Lepisosteus oculatus: one gene and its partner. The protein of the gene in region 1 interacts with the protein of each later gene in a biochemical or structural test. Links are inferred from orthologs where the notes say so. Each region holds a gene or a part of one and is shown on either strand. Other genes may lie near its edges. The genes, in order: fyb1 and skap1.

The links.
Region 2: the proteins of fyb1 (region 1) and skap1 form a complex in vitro, tested with the Homo sapiens proteins (2 studies listed by BioGRID and IntAct, with this or other methods). The link is inferred for Lepisosteus oculatus from reciprocal best matches to the Homo sapiens genes FYB1 and SKAP1.

What each region holds. Positions count from the first base shown.
Region 1 is NC_090698.1:16,135,741-16,143,762, reverse strand, and holds the start of fyb1 (FYN-binding protein 1), read left to right. Parts: upstream 1-4,495; 5' UTR 4,496-4,594; coding exon 4,595-4,603; intron 4,604-6,177; exon of another isoform or gene 6,178-6,256; intron 6,257-8,022. UniProt on the Homo sapiens protein: Acts as an adapter protein of the FYN and LCP2 signaling cascades in T-cells. May play a role in linking T-cell signaling to remodeling of the actin cytoskeleton. Modulates the expression of IL2. Involved in platelet activation.
Region 2 is NC_090723.1:9,185,000-9,192,595, forward strand, and holds the start of skap1 (src kinase-associated phosphoprotein 1), read right to left. Parts: upstream 3,449-7,596; 5' UTR 3,205-3,448; coding exon 3,165-3,204; intron 1-3,164. UniProt on the Homo sapiens protein: Positively regulates T-cell receptor signaling by enhancing the MAP kinase pathway. Required for optimal conjugation between T-cells and antigen-presenting cells by promoting the clustering of integrin ITGAL on the surface of T-cells.

The DNA of each region.
Region 1 (8,022 bases):
ATCAACAAAACGTTTTGCTCACAATTTAAGATGGAAATAATGTGTGGGTACAATTGAGCTACTGATATACAAGACTGTTGTGTTCTTATCGTGCAGTAGTACACAGCTGAACCAGTAATCAGATCAATTGAGAACTGAAGATAGTGTACAGTACCAATTAAAAGACCCCTGTGGATCTCCAAAAACATACTGTAGTGATTTTTGGTTTGGTTTGTTGAAGTAAAATTCTCAATGGAAACGAACATGTCAGGAAGTTGACAAGCATTGGCAGTACTGTATGTTTGCCGTTGCTGTAACAAAAGGAGATCACTTGTGCAATAAAATAACTTCTCTTTAACAAAGTGATAATTTGCTGTTTTCCATTTAAGAACATTTGTCGAGCAATGTCAGAATAGTTTCTTGTTCTTGATGTAGGGTATTACGTTGTTTATAAGCCCAGTGTGTGTTTTATATATCTAGACACCTATGACAATAAGCAGCTGTGACATCATAACAGGTAGTTGTTCTCTTTATCTGGCTCATCTATCTGTGTTTCCTGGTCTCCAATCAGTCCCATTCAAATGAAGAATTTAAATTAATATACCGTATGTTCAAATGCTCCTTTAGAGAGGTGTATGCCCAATCTGCTTTCTTTTTCCATAGTTAAAGCACAGCGTGCAAGAAAATCCTTAAATTGAGAACACTGGCGTTCGTATTTTCCTGTGCACTAATGTATGTAACTAAGCAGCGGTCCATTGTTCACGATAAAACAAAGAGCAGGCACAGGCAGACAAACGGGTAAGTAACAGGTGGCTGTAGCGAACGAAACACAGTCCAGAATCATAGTCAGTGAAGAAGCCCAGTTCAACGCTGGAGAAACACAATGAAGGCACAAATGAACTACTGTACGCGAAAGCTGAGGTCCAATTAAGCTATTCAGGTTTGTAGCCATATGTAACAGCATTGAACATGCAATCAGTATTATTCAATTTTTCTTTAATATTAATTATCTATTTACTTCCTTCTTTTACTTTTTTGCTTTGTGGAGTAGTGTAAAGTCAGTTGTGTATCTAACACCTATTGAAAGTTCCTGACTGCAAGCTTTAAAGCAACAAAAGGTGATCACTTTGTTAGGCACTGTAGAAAATGTCTACAGACTTGTTAACAGGGGAGGGACGAGCATCTTAAGAAACGATTCCTGTAGAAAGTAGCAAATAGTGCTAAAGAAGAGAAACACCTCACAATGAGTCAATTAGATTTGATTGCAAAATGTGATGAATTAGGTTTTATCACTTGCTCGTGTCTAGTTTATCTTGAAACGTTCTACTTAGGGTTTTGAATATACTACTTGATGTGAAGTAAAAACTGGATGACGAGTTTCTTCTCACACAAAGCAAGCTGTATTAATAACAGTACAACTTGTTATAATAGTAAAGAAATTAGTGGAGGCTTTGAGTAGTTTGTGATGATGATAACATGCTCATACTGCAACCCCTGACTGTGTTTAAGATGTCTAAGGTATTTCTACAGTATATGCAGTAAATACCCTTTTTAAATTCATTGGTTTGTGACATCTATTGTACTGTCCAGGAAATTCCATCTTTAAGCAGTTCTCACAATGTCTGCATTTTCAAAGCAGCTTTCCCTTGTAAAATTTTCAAGACTTAGACAACATAGATGTAGTATTCAGTCCCTATTTATAGAGCTTATCTCATATCAGTGCATGTGTTGCATAAGACCTTTGACAAGCACATTGTCCCCTCTGATGTTAGAGAACCGAAACTTGTGTTTTATATCACTTCATGTACAGTACTAGCTTTCCAGCAGTACTTTATTTTGTTGCTCACAGTGGAGCTCACAGTGATCATGGAGCATGTTAAAAAGTTTTTTTTCTTATATGCAACTTTTGATATCCCCCCGAGGGAATCATGTGGCCTGAAGTCCTTTTATCTGTGCAAGGGCCGAGTGTGAGAGGCAGAATGATAAAATCTCACGGCACTATAAAGAAATAAACATTAATTATCATATAATACACATTCTATTATATTATTGGAGTTCACTGGAGTTAATGTTCAGCTTCTTATGGAAACACTCACATACACCATTCAGGGTATTTGATCATCTCCTTACTATCAGAGCAAAATTAAAAATGCTCTAAGCATGCCAACTGTTGTTAACTGGAAAAATCTGCAAGAATTATACACTGTACATGTATCTTAGCCTATGTATAAGTAGTATAAAAGGTATGGAGCAAAAAACCTTTGTTAAAGAATCAAAGACTGCTAATCTTTGATCAATTGAACACACCTGATATGACATGAAGCCACCAAATAAATTTATACCTGACACACTATCTCAACAGTTTGTTGACCCTGGAATCCATCTGAAATCACAATGGTTTCTCGGCTGCATAATTTACTGTTATTAATTCGTTTCCTTTGCTGCTACAACCATTTGCTGAGCAAGGGTGTGATGAAGACTCTTTCCACGATGCAAGAGCATGGCACAGGCTGCAAAGCTTGTGGAAGAAATTGTGCTACAGCAGTGGGAGCAGTAGCCTGCTGTTCAATGATATCACATGAGCTCTTTAGCATGTTCCATTATCAATAGGATTGTCATTATCAATACGCTTTTGTGGTAGTAGAAGTACCCCAGTTTAAAGAGGCAACTTGGGTGCTATTCATACACACACCATAACTACAGGACCTGTAAGATGTGATATGTCACATTGTATCACCTAGGGCGGGAGCACAGACGCAACAGTACTGCCACCACCAGTACGATGAGTGAAGCAGTGAAGTGTTTGAAAAGAAGTTCCTTTCAACTGCTCAGCATTTTTCAGCTTCTCTCTTCCTCTTTTGTTTGCTTATGTCTGTGTTTTTCTTTTCCTTTGGTCTGGGAATGAAACCCCCCCCCCAGCTGCTGAGGCCGAACTCATTGTCACCTTAGTTTCCCTTACAGGAAAATTCTTGTTGGACTCCACTTGTCTTTTAGAGAAGTGACAAACCCTGATGAGTTGAATAGCCTTTTGTAAACTTTCTCAGGTTCTCAGTGAGATACAAATGTTTTACTCTTGATGCCAATGGCACCTGAGAGCTCCCACATTCTGCCATTCAGTGAGCCAGAACTCACCTGTGTTCACTTTAGATTCCAGAAAGCCATGCACCTGAGAAACTACTGTATATCAGATATTCCAGACATCAGTTTAGATTATTTAGATTAGGTTTGACTCAATCTTTACCAATTGTCTGATCGTGTGAGCTGTAAGAGCTCTTAACACAACTAAGAAGACAAAGTATCTACCTGCTAAACCCTTTCCAATAGGGCGGTGTTATATTATATGGGTCTTTGTACAGTATATTTTATCAAAGGACAGCAGTACCACTAAATTTACACTACAACGCAAACAAGCCTACATGTTTTAATTGATCTGTTTTAGGTATAGAAATATCAATTTGTTCATAGGCTTAAAATTTCATGTAAGCATTTTTTCTGTGATGTTTATTTTTATTCTGATGTTATTTTCTGCCAGGGGAATTTGTGTCTGGTTCCTGCATGTGGTCTGAGCTTCCTTGTTTCTTTCATCACTGTGCAATTTAGATACTGTGCTACTAAGAATGTGTCGTGAAATGGCAGAAACTTCACAGAGAGTCTGGATTTCAGATCAGACTGTGACCAACTGTGCTGTGTAATTTTTTTCATGATCACCTGCGCTGCTCAACAGCTTCAGTTGTATTTATTTATTTCACGTGGGTTCTAAAAATCCCACACACATTTAGGTAGCTCACTAAAAATGATAATACAAAGTTTCTACCTGAACGATCAACATTGCAAAAAAATTAGTTATTGTCATGATACAAAGAAAACTTTCAATCACAAATCAATATGTAACTGGTCAGGCTTCAGCTCTCAGGTTAGGGCAAGTTCAGAAGCATGATATATAAAATATACAGTGAAATATAAGCCACCTTTGTGTATCCTTTCCTGAAATGCAATAACCCAATTAAGATAAAACCTGCAAAATTCTGGAAGGGAAGAGTAACTCCTGAAGTTACAACACTGTGACATTGGAGGAATTAAAACTGATGCATTGTAACAGGAGTCCTTCAGTGAGTTATGCCCCCTGTTGCAAAAGAAGTTGAAATATAGTCTGACAGAAACACAGCTGCAAAGGGAAATCTCTACGATACCTGAAAAGGTCTCAGCAGTTTTTGCACATAATCCAGCTATAGTCCAGCCATCTAATCCATTATTAATATATAACCTATTATAATATATATATATAATATAATCCAGCTATAAGATGGAATCGGAAAGGAAAAGGATACCGTGTGTCCCTGCAAGTGCTGTCTCCTTCCTCTAGGTGGCACCACAACCTTACTGTTCATAGTACAACATTTAAAAGTACAATGACTCTGAGGTCTATGATCTTTAGAAACCAGAGATAAGAGGGGTAAATAATAATTGACTGTCCTAAGCTGGGAAGTTTAAAAAGAGAAAACTAAACTTTGTGATTTTTTTGTTTAAAACATATTCTCGGGTCTACGTTCAACAGTAACATTGAGACTCTTGGAAGCACAGTTTTCTTCTGAAGTTTGTTGAGAATAAGACGTTAATGGAGCAGGTTAGTGTATCATGTTTTTGGGTTACTTTTTACTTATTGTGCTAAAGAAACACCCCTGCAAGATGGGCTTTGTAAAGACTCCAAGCTTTGTTGGTAGGGGGTAGATGTGGAGAAATCGCCAAATCATCCTCTTCCACAGTTCCAGTCGAGGCTGTGCATTTGTCACATTTTATATCTTCAGCTGGAAGCTACTTAACAAGCTGTTATTAAACAGTACATACATTGTCGGTCTTTGATCAGTTCAATTATTCAGCAAGTGGTTTCCTGATTCCATGATTTTATTATACTGTAAGCCTGATGAACCCTAATCATATGGCTTTCAATCTTCTGTTTCTTAGATTTTTGGTATTGGTTTATTATTGCCTTTTGGTCATGGTCGAAAGTCAAATTACAGATTGTGTAAAATAGACAATATCCTTACTTGAAGAGCATATCAGGCGAGTATTCTGTTGTAACTGGTACATTTTTCTGTCGTTCTAAGGCTTTCATTGAACATATCCATTCACAACTGCAATCATTCCTCATAAGGAGAAGAGTATTTTCCAGAAAGTTACCTTAATACATACATTGATAGCACCTTGTAGCCTGATCCTGTCAGATCTCGGAAACTAAGCAAGGTCCGGCCTGCACTGGGACAGAAGACACCAGGTTACTGTGATATTGGTGAACCAATAGTGGGAGCTCTTCCCTCTGCCAGATGATCAAAACTAATAACAGCAATGGCGACTAGGGATTAGTGATGTACAGTAGGAGGTGCCATCCATTTAATGAGACTTCAAATCCAGGTCTTGGCAATGTTTATGAAAACCCAGGAGTTAATCCCCTTTCCCTGGCTAAATTCCACTCTGGACTGGTACAATCTGGCCTTCTCTTAAATTTCCCCTTAGTTCAATCGGAGAAGCATTTTCTCATGTCTCTGAATGATCTGCTGTGCAGTGGGGCTGCTTCTGCAGAACAGCTGCCACATATCACCCAGGTGATATATGAACTTGAGAGCTGAACTTGATAGGGGAATGAAGAAGCTACCCTTCTGTGTGACAAGAGCATTGGCATCCTGTGGGATAAAATGACATTTGAAAGTTTATTATTAATATTACTGACAATAATAATAAGAAGAAAATAAAAATACAGTGTGTTCATAGACTCACATACACTAGTACAGCTCTCACCAATTAAACTGTCTTAGGCTAAAATGGTCCCTCGCTTTCACAAGGCAGTCTTGCCAGTCTCTGCAGTGTTCAGTGTCCAGTTTTCAGTGCCACACCAGAATAAACCTCACTGAGCATACTGCAGGTACTGTAATTGTGTCTACAATGTGACATGGCCCAGGAACTGGCAAATGAGTGAGTACTCAAAATACTTATGCCCCTTAATGTCTGCAGCACGATTCAATGGGACAAATTTGAAATCTTGCTCACTTTGTACAGACCAAAAGTAAGAAATGCCTAACTAAAACCAAGGATTTGTTGAATTCCTCTTCCTGTGCTGCTTTGTTTTTTTGTCATTTACGAGAACTATGTGAAACTGTATCCTGTGTGAAATAGTGATGTTAGCAATAGTTTCACCACTTGAGCCAACTTCCCTAAACATGAATTTGCAGGCACACGCTAATAGCAAGCAGAGGAGCTGTTTTTCCTGATCTTGTTGTCATTAGTAAGTACAAACGTTTTGCTATTTTGTAGGGATTCAGGAATTATTAACATTACCATTCCTCAAATATGTGTGCATAAGTTAATATATGAAATGTTGTTGTACCAATAGTTTTATTTTTCTGTTTTGTGCTCAATGAAAATCATTCTAATAATTATTTGGTTTTAAACAATCCAGTGTTTACCAGCTCTAGTGACATGAGACTAGTTTGGATTGATTTTTTATTGTTTTCACCAGGAGCTCTAAGTTTAACTTAAGCTTGAGAAAGTTGCGAGAACTGTATTATATGGACTTCTGTGAAAACACACTGTTTAAAAATGACAACACTGTACAATGGCTTAGTATTTCTGCCTAAAGTTTCTGTGCTGAACTGTCAATACATTTTATTTAATCCAATCAATTAATTATTTATGTCCCTCAGGAATAGAGCATCTTAACAGCTGCTTATGGGTTTTATTGCATCAAAAGCCTCACACCAGAGATCAGGTGTATAAGATATTTAAGCTTGGCAGGTAATCATATAGAGATCAGGTGTATAAGAGTGTTCAGATGGCCAGATAACCATTGAGAGATCAGGTGTATAAGAGTGTTCAACTGTCCAGTTAACCATTGAGAGATTGGGTGTATAAGAGTTGTTGGCTGGCCAGGTAACCATGAGCGATCAGGTGTATAAGAGCTGTAACACTGTCGGATCCCTGATGTGCACAGAAACAGATTAAAACAGCTGACAGAAGTAAGGAAGAGGAATAATGAAAGAATGTCATTTCTTTCAATATTGAGAAACATGTCATTTCTGTACATACTGCATCACGTATGGTGATGAAATATAATTTTTCGGTCGTTGATTGGCTGTATTTCTTCACCTTGGAGAGTGACACAGCAGAGTGTTAAACAAGTAATAATTTTGATTGCTGCCCCAACACTGTACAGTTCAGAACTTGTCAATTACATCTCTTTGCTGTCTCCATAGGGGTAATTACTTTTGCTATAAAACTGTAGTTTTTTTTATCTGATTCAGCCTGGGGGACAAACAAAAATTGGGGCCTGTCCTATTTAATGTTTGTCACACGTGACACATTTTGTTATGTCAGTTCTCATTCAGTTGCTCGCAATCTAAAAGATTCTTATTAGAAGTTGGTCTTTTTAATTTTGCAGGAGAGTCGCACATGCCCTCTCCTGTCTTGTTGGAGGTCATCTTAAAGTCTGTCCCAGCACTTACATTTCACACTGCTGTTTTATTCCATTCAGAAATAACATTCTCTTGTTTGGTTAGTCATATAGCAGAGATGCACAATACGAAATAACTACCCTTTATCAACCTTAGCAGTTTTATTTAAGTTTTTGACAACTTTAATCAAATTTCCTCTTGGCTGTTCTTTACTGAGTGTGAAAAGAGTGCAGTTTTTGTAACAGAACGGCAGGCTCATTATTAATGTTCACTTGTAAAATATATTCATGATTACTAGAAGAATTAATAAACATTGCAGAAGCTGTATTCATAAGGATTTACACAAACTATAGGACTGGAAAAACACCTGGCTGTTTTAATATAATGTAAGGAATTGCATGTGGCTATGAGGTATGACCTCATTCAGAATATTGCCTACAGTTTTGGTCACCAAGATACAAGAAAGCAGTTCGCTTTCGAATAGGTTCAGACAAGAGCAAACAGATATATCCTACAAAGGTAGGCTGAAAGAGCTCAATCCTTTCAGTCCTGAACAGAGAAGACTAAGAGTGGATCTCAACCAAGTATTCGAAACACTCAA
Region 2 (7,596 bases), on another chromosome or scaffold:
GTGTCAGCCTCGCGGGCGCGATAAAACGGCGCAGAGCTCCCTCGTCAACACAGAGAAAGAGAAACGGAGGTGTAGGTGGCATTCTCACTCACATTAGACGGACCTAATGAAGTGACAGGCCCCTGACAGCTCCAACCTACACTGCTCTTGCCACACTGCAGGACAGGGGGCACCGTGTAGACTTTAAAATCCTCATGCTCACCTATAAGGCTCTGCATGGCTTGGCACCTCAGCACCTGTCTGAACTATTATCGCCCTACTCCCCACCTCACAACCTCCGCTCTTCTGACTCTGGTCTCCTTACTGTCCCCCAAGCCCGTCTACATTGTATGGGCGACAGGGCCTGCTCCTGTTATGCCCCCAAGCTCTGGAACTCTCTCCCCAAGGATATCAGAGTCACCTTCTCTAAACTCCTTCAAATCCAGACTCAAAACCCTCTTCTTCAGAAAAGCCTTTACTTAACTGGTTCCATTCTTCACCCCTCTGCTTTTCTTAGTACCACCATCCACGGTCTCCTCTGTGTATTGTCATTGTGTTTTATCTTGTGTATTCTTCTTATTTATTGTTGTTATCATTCTGTAAAGCGCTTTGAAATGCCACCTTTAAAGGCGCTATATAAAATAAGTTTATTATAATTATTATTATTATTATTATTATTATTATTATTACTAGCACTCCAAGGAGGTGGGTAAGCCCACGTTGCTCAAATCAGCGATCAATTTGTCCACTTAGCTCAGGTGTTGAACCCCTCAGGTTCTGGAAGGCAGTACAGTCAGTTTCGCTGCCCCGCGTCTCTGAATTACTTCATTAAGCAAATGACCTTCCTGCTGCAGCCTTTAGAAACCAGTGCTTTAAGATAAGAATGGACAACTTCGGTCTTCAAGGGCCAGGGGTCTTCGGGATTTACTGGTACATCCCAATCAGCAACTTATCAAAATGTAAAACAATCAGGGTTTGTGACTTATACTCATAATGTGTTCATTTACGATCAGAGACAGAAAGAAAAGCTGAGTGCCCTGCTCTAAGTAAAGAGCTTCAGTGCAGCAGAAATGTATGTTCACTCCCAAACAATTAGCGCTTCAACAATTTTAATTTTAAAGTTTTAAAGTTAAAAGCGCAGATTCGTAAACTTATAAAGCAGGTTTTTAACAAATCAGCTGGGATCCCAAGCTTTTTCGATGTGCTGCATGTTTCAACTCCCCTCCCCCTCACCAATGCAGAATTTATGGTCTCAAACTGAACAACTCAGTGAGTCTTCACACGCATCTCTCCTACCCAGCAAGCAGCACATATTCGACAACAGAGAAGAATTTCTCAGGTGCATCCTCTGTGCTGGGGCTTTCCAAAGTAAGTGAGGAGCGAACCACGTTCTTCCTGCACGACAAATTTACAAAAATAATTTTGCTAGGAAGCACCAAGTCAAATCCAAAGACGGTCAGTTTACATTTACATTCATGTCTCTACAGCCCTGCCCATCAGAAAAAGCTGTGTAAACCTTACAACCTCGGTGTGATCTTTTACACATACAGCTGATGCTCACCATTCAAATCCCCTCTCACTCTGTAGACCACCTACTTTGTATCCTTTGACAAAAAAAAAAGACTTTCCTCCCCATCTCCTTGTTCTTGCCCAAGCTGGCCACATCTTCATGCCCACCACTGGGTAATCAAACACTGCTTTATTGCATTCGCGGGATTGTAGCATCTTGAAAGATCGCTAAGCAACTCTCATGCAGGAGGGGGACCCAGTTTGTCTGCCACCACATTGCAGCCCCACCTGGGTGCCGCAAGCAGCCCCCACAGCACACTAGAGCAAGGGGAGGAGTGCAAAACTGCTGCACCAGTTGCATTAAGACGGAACTCTAAGGAGGTCAGATTGTACAGCAGTGGAAATCGGCCAGGACTACATTAACACCCCCATATTCTGGCATGAGGTTGCAACACTAAGTAGTTAGGCCTGGATTCAAAACTCTCATCCAAATGATATCTAGTGGAACGAGGCCTTTTACAGTAGACAAAACCTTGAAAGCCAATTAAAAAACATTACAAAATTACACCGAATGTACACATGCAAACGTCAGGGTTTGTTTTGTTTTGTTACAGTACGTATCTGACAGGGTGTTATCCATGCCCGTTGACCTATGCAAATACTTGTCAAAGGACTGATACACATTGTTCCGGAAATGCAAATCATCGCCTGCAATCCAAAACTCACATTTGCGCCTTTTAATTCCAGGCCAGTTTCAGTCCTCACCCATTTAAAGCCATTTTTGCACATGCCAATTTGGATAAATTCCAGTACATACACACGAGTACCCAGGTGTTCGAGGTCCCCTCTCTCTCTCATTCTTATGCTGTAACAGTATTTAAGCGTGCTTTTGAAATACAAAGGGGGAAACAAAAACACGATTCGGAGAGAAATTCACAAGCACAGCCCATACAAGCACCAACTCAAGCAGATGGGTTAAATGGTACCCGAGCCGCGCCCCGACTACATCAGCCGCCATCGGACTCCTTGTGACGCCCTTGAAAACTCCCAAGCAGCCCAAATTCAGCTACTTTCCCCATGAAGAGGCACCAGCCTTCAGACTCTGAAAGAACAAACTTCAGGGGTCTGTAAAACTACAGATTCACGACTCGAGGGAGCGCCTTTCGTCTGTCCTAGGCCGCTTTTGACCGGTGTCCTGCGGCTGGGGCCGCTATCCTCCCTAGTAGAAAACGTTATACTTTAAAAAAAAATGATTTCCCAAAAGCGTCAGGAGCGGGTGGCCACAAAATGGGAATCCTACAGCTTTGTAGGGGTGCACCCGTGACAGTGAATGGGTTCTCATCCCGGTGCTAACGACGCTTTCCTGGCCTAATTCGGCGCGTCCAGGCTACCACGCCACCAGCGTCGCCAGTACGATCAACCCAGCGTCGCCACAACGCATTTCTTTCAAAGAGGGAGCCTAGACTGGCACCGCCAGCAGATAGCAGATCAAATGAGCAGTCCTTAGTCATTCTCTGTTGCTGCTGGGTTTTTTAATTTAACGACGAGTCCAGCGGGACAGAGCTGAATCCTCCAGTGTTTCCCAAGCCGCTCATGTGAAATTCTCAGGGATATCTACAGGTTACATTTAAACTTTAAAAAAAAAAAAAGGTCAGTGAACGAAAGCTGAAAGTTACCTTCGAGAAGTCTTTTAATGTCTGCGGGGACGACGTCCATGCTTGCGCGTCCTTGCTCCACCTGATGCGGAGAGGTGTTGCGGTCCAGGTCGAGCAGGGCAGGCGAGCGCTCGCACTCGGCGACGGGGGAGAACGAGCCTGACCTCCACCTCTCCACCTCCGCCGGTGAGCGCGCCCGGGGCGGGGGCGCGGGCGCGCACACGCGCAGGCACCTGCCAGCCCCGCAGAACTGAAATTGAAAGCGGGCGCGCGTGGGTCGGGTTTAGTCAGAAAAAAAAAACTCCCTCGCGCTTCAGCTCCGTGCACAGGGTGTCTCGGGTTCACCCCCCCCCCAGCTGCAGAAAAAGTAGCAAGCGTACTTCTCGTGTTGTTGCTTCGTACAGATGCTATGAATCGTAAAAACGAGCACTTTAAGATACAGCTGTTGAGATGTTAAAATGTGAACTTGAAAAGCGTGCATTTTACTTTACTGCTTTGCGCGCCGATTAATTCATAAACACAGTTACATAAGCCTCCCAGAGATTCAGCTGCTACACCTCCTCCTAGCAGACATTAAATCATAGGTTTTGATTCTGGGGGAGGATGACGGGGGGAGGGGGGGGCGTTGCGTCACTCTTTTATATATTTATTCTCTGAAAGGGTCGGAGTTGCCGTTTGAGAGACAACTGTTAACGCTCGAGTGCTTCCTGATGAGAGACTTAGAGACGTGATTTCCAGATTTGGAAAAAAAACAAAACAAAACAATCTTTTCTTTCCCCAGCTGAGCGCGAAGTCCGGGGGGCCTGTCGCGGCGCGCTGACAGACTCCTGGCTTCATCCGCGCCTCCGAATTAATTCCCGGGCGCGCCCGAGTTTGAATCCTTGAACGTGCGGCCCCCACCTGGGTGATGCGCCAGTCCGCTCCCCCACACACCCGCTCTCAGTGGGGAGGAGAGCAGAGGGATGAAGCCCGTTCAGAGAGGGGGGTTCGAATCGTCAGAACTTGAGGGGTGAATACAGACCCTGCCGAAAGGTGAAGATGAAGACGAAAATGATGTGTTAACATGAACATGTCATCTTTTTTTCACAAGCTGCTTCCTACGAAGTGTTTTCCATGAAATATGTATGTTTTTACCTGCAACTATGGCCATTAAAGTTATTAGTTTGGGATTTTGTAACAGTCTTTTTGTAGATGCCCTTTGCAACTCCTACAGTGCTTGTTAATCCTTTTTTGACATCATCTGCGAACTTGACCAATTTGTTATTCACACCAGAGTCCAGGTCAGTGACAGAAATTAGAAACCTCAGTGGTCCAAATACAGACCCCTGCGCTGCTCTGCTAATCATATCACCCCTGTTTGAGCATGTACCCTTTTGTACTCTGCATATTAACCAGTTCTCTATCCCAATACATAATCTTGAAGGCTTACCACCTTATATTTTTCTGAATAACTGCATCAAAAGACTTCTGGCAATCTTGAATATATACACCATATATTTTGATCTGATTGTATAAGGGGTTTGAGAACATGTGCTGTAGATTGCTAGTCTTAAAGTGATGTGGATTTTTTCTCTCCTGAATGGCCAGAGACACGATGCGGTGTTGCAGCTACTGGTGTTTCTGTAACCTGAAATGGGGGGGGAATCGAGCCTTTTCCGGCCCCCAGATGGGAATCAGCAGTGGGATCAGTGGGATTGATGGGATGGGCTCAGTGTCACCCAAGGGACAAGGTCCTGGCATGTGTGCCCAGTGAATCCCAGCTGTGGTCCCACAGTTCCAGTCCTGCGGGGCTCCTCACCTGTCTGTGACCCATCAAGACCACGAGCAGCAGGCCCAGGCGTTGTAGGGAGTGTGTAATTCAATTCCTTAAGCACCTGAGGCGGAGAGACATCCAGGTCTGGAAAAGTTATAGACACAGGAGGGCCTGAGCCAGCACCATCCAAGACATTGTATTTTAGGATTCATTGTCTTAAAGGTCCTCTTTATGAATGATTAATCTGCTCCCTAACTAGACAGGAGTTCCTCAGGGTTACCAGTCCTTGAGCATTTTGGGAACCCCAATGAGCCCTGCACACCGTTTCCCCAAACTGTGAAGGGGGAGAGACCCCCTTGCTTGCTTGCAAGGCGGTTTTCTGCACAGAAAACTACTTTTGGTTTTACAATACTCTAAATACTAAATACTAAAAATGCCTGTACATCAGTGGAAGTGAAGCCTAATAGGTAATTCTAATCGCAGTACTTTACATAAATTGTCTGTGATAAAAAAAAACGGAGGTATTTTCCAGTTCAGCTTGCATAGGAGCTACAACGGATTAACTTGAACGTTTTTTCTTTACAAATCTAAGGTGGTGCTGCTCGCTTTGGGGCAAAATCTTAATCTCCTCCTCACTCAACGCTCAATCTATTACAGGCGAACTGTGCGGTCCTGTCACAGGCGGGAGCTTTTCCTTGTCAATTCGATGTTGTCATACACATGGTAACGACGGCAACGACAATAATGGCGGTAGTAGCCTATAATGGCGTTGCCTTCCATTTTAATACCCGTAATTAAAAGTAATCCTAGCTGTATAAACCTCCTTCCTTCTTCAGACATGCTGCGGCACATCACACGCGGTAAAATGGGCGCAAGTGACTAATGAGTAATATCTCAGCTCTGGATATCGCTCACTTAAACACAGATTAGCTGCTGAAGGCGTATCTTTACGTCAACAGAATTATCGCGCTTTCAGCTCCTGTCTCAATTATTGTCTCAGCCCTTTGATAAAACAGTGTGTTTAACAAATGTTAGCTAACCTTTCGAGGCCTTGGTGCAGCGAACGGTTGCCTCTCATCTCGACTCGCTCGGTTCTGCCCACCCCGGGGCTGGCCGTGGCGTACCCCAGGCCGGGATACCCCGCAGGCCCGCGGGCCGGGTGCCCGAGAGGGGAGCCGGCGGTGACACTACCCATGGCGATATGTTATCTGTTCTCCATCCATGCACCTATACCGTGTGCTTTCCAGCGTTTTAATGCATATTTAATGTGCTTAGACGTTGTCTGAGGCGCTGGGCAACGTGAAAGGCATCTTTTTGAAACATTGCTTTTTTTTTATTATCGGTAATAAGTACCAGTAGCAGCAGTAATAAATCTGAAATCGGCGGCACGGTTTATTTTAGTGCGAAAAGCTGACTGTTTTCCGCCTCGGCGCGGATATAGCCCGGCCCCGCTACCCGAACCAGAATTTCAGAATCGCTGTCAAATCACCGGAAGACGCGTGATTAAAACACGAACGGGGTGGTTTAATTAACGCGACTTCATTTTCTATCGCGCTGCACAGCGCCCGAGTCCATCCTTTAAGGTAATGAAATCATTTGTTTTAAGCTCACGTTAAGCTGCTGGGTAATTAAATGAGACGCCGATGACTGGGCGCTAATGAAGTTTTAGCCCCACAGGTTACGGATTAAGCTCCACGCCAAAGCGGGCACAGGGTGGGGGGGTGGAGCAGGTCTGCTGCTGCCCACGCCACGGCGCACAGGAGCTCACTCGTCACCCGGGTCGTGGGTCCTCCATAGACACAGAAGCCAGTTAGTTTGTGAAGAATATATACATGTTAATGAAAGGTCTTCTGCATTCGCCATCACCTCTGCCTCACCCTGTCACCTGACCCAGACACACAGGCCAGGAGGAAGATGAAAGCAGCGTGAGCATTTTAATCATAATTCAGAAATGTGTCACAGTCACAGTCTAGAACGACATCCTTGCTGTTTCCTAACGCAGCAGGTGACCGTGTCCAGTTCAGGAGGCCTCAACGCACAGTTCAAAATAGCTCAGCTTGTCTGGTGATGGGGCCCCTTCCTTTAGCTCGGACACATCGCACATAAACCTTTAAAATCCTTCTCTGCACAAACACATTGAGTATATATGTATATTTCACCCCCTATCTTCTGAAAATAAAGCATGTGGGTTATTTTCGGTGCCGGCCGAGCTCGGAAAGTTTCTCCTCGGAAACCCAGGTTAGGTGGAAGCTGTTGCCATGGTGACCCGAGCGGGACGCCGTGATTGGCTGCCTGGGCGGCCCAGGTGAACACCGGACGCAGCCGCTCAGAGCAGGCGGCGGGAGAGGCCCAGGTGGCCCAGATGCCGTCTCTCTGCTGTGAGAGGGCAGAAGAGGCTCTTGCCTGGCGATAAGGCCTCCTCGGGCCTGGCTGGACGCGGGCCGATAAGGAAGGAATGGGTCAGTCTGGGGGGGAGGGTCAAGACACGCAGACGTCCCGCCCAGGCTGATGGGAGAGCTGGCGCTCTTTCAGACGCGCTCCAGTGGGCCCGAGCAGGAGTCCCGAGGCTCGTGCCAGGGAGGCTGGGCTTCAGTCCTCCTAGGGCGTCCTCATTTCGCATAGGCCGGTGCCCTGCTGTAGCTGCGAACCTGCATCTGGATCAGGGTCAGGACTCCAGTCGGGCCTGGGGCGGCCAGTCCC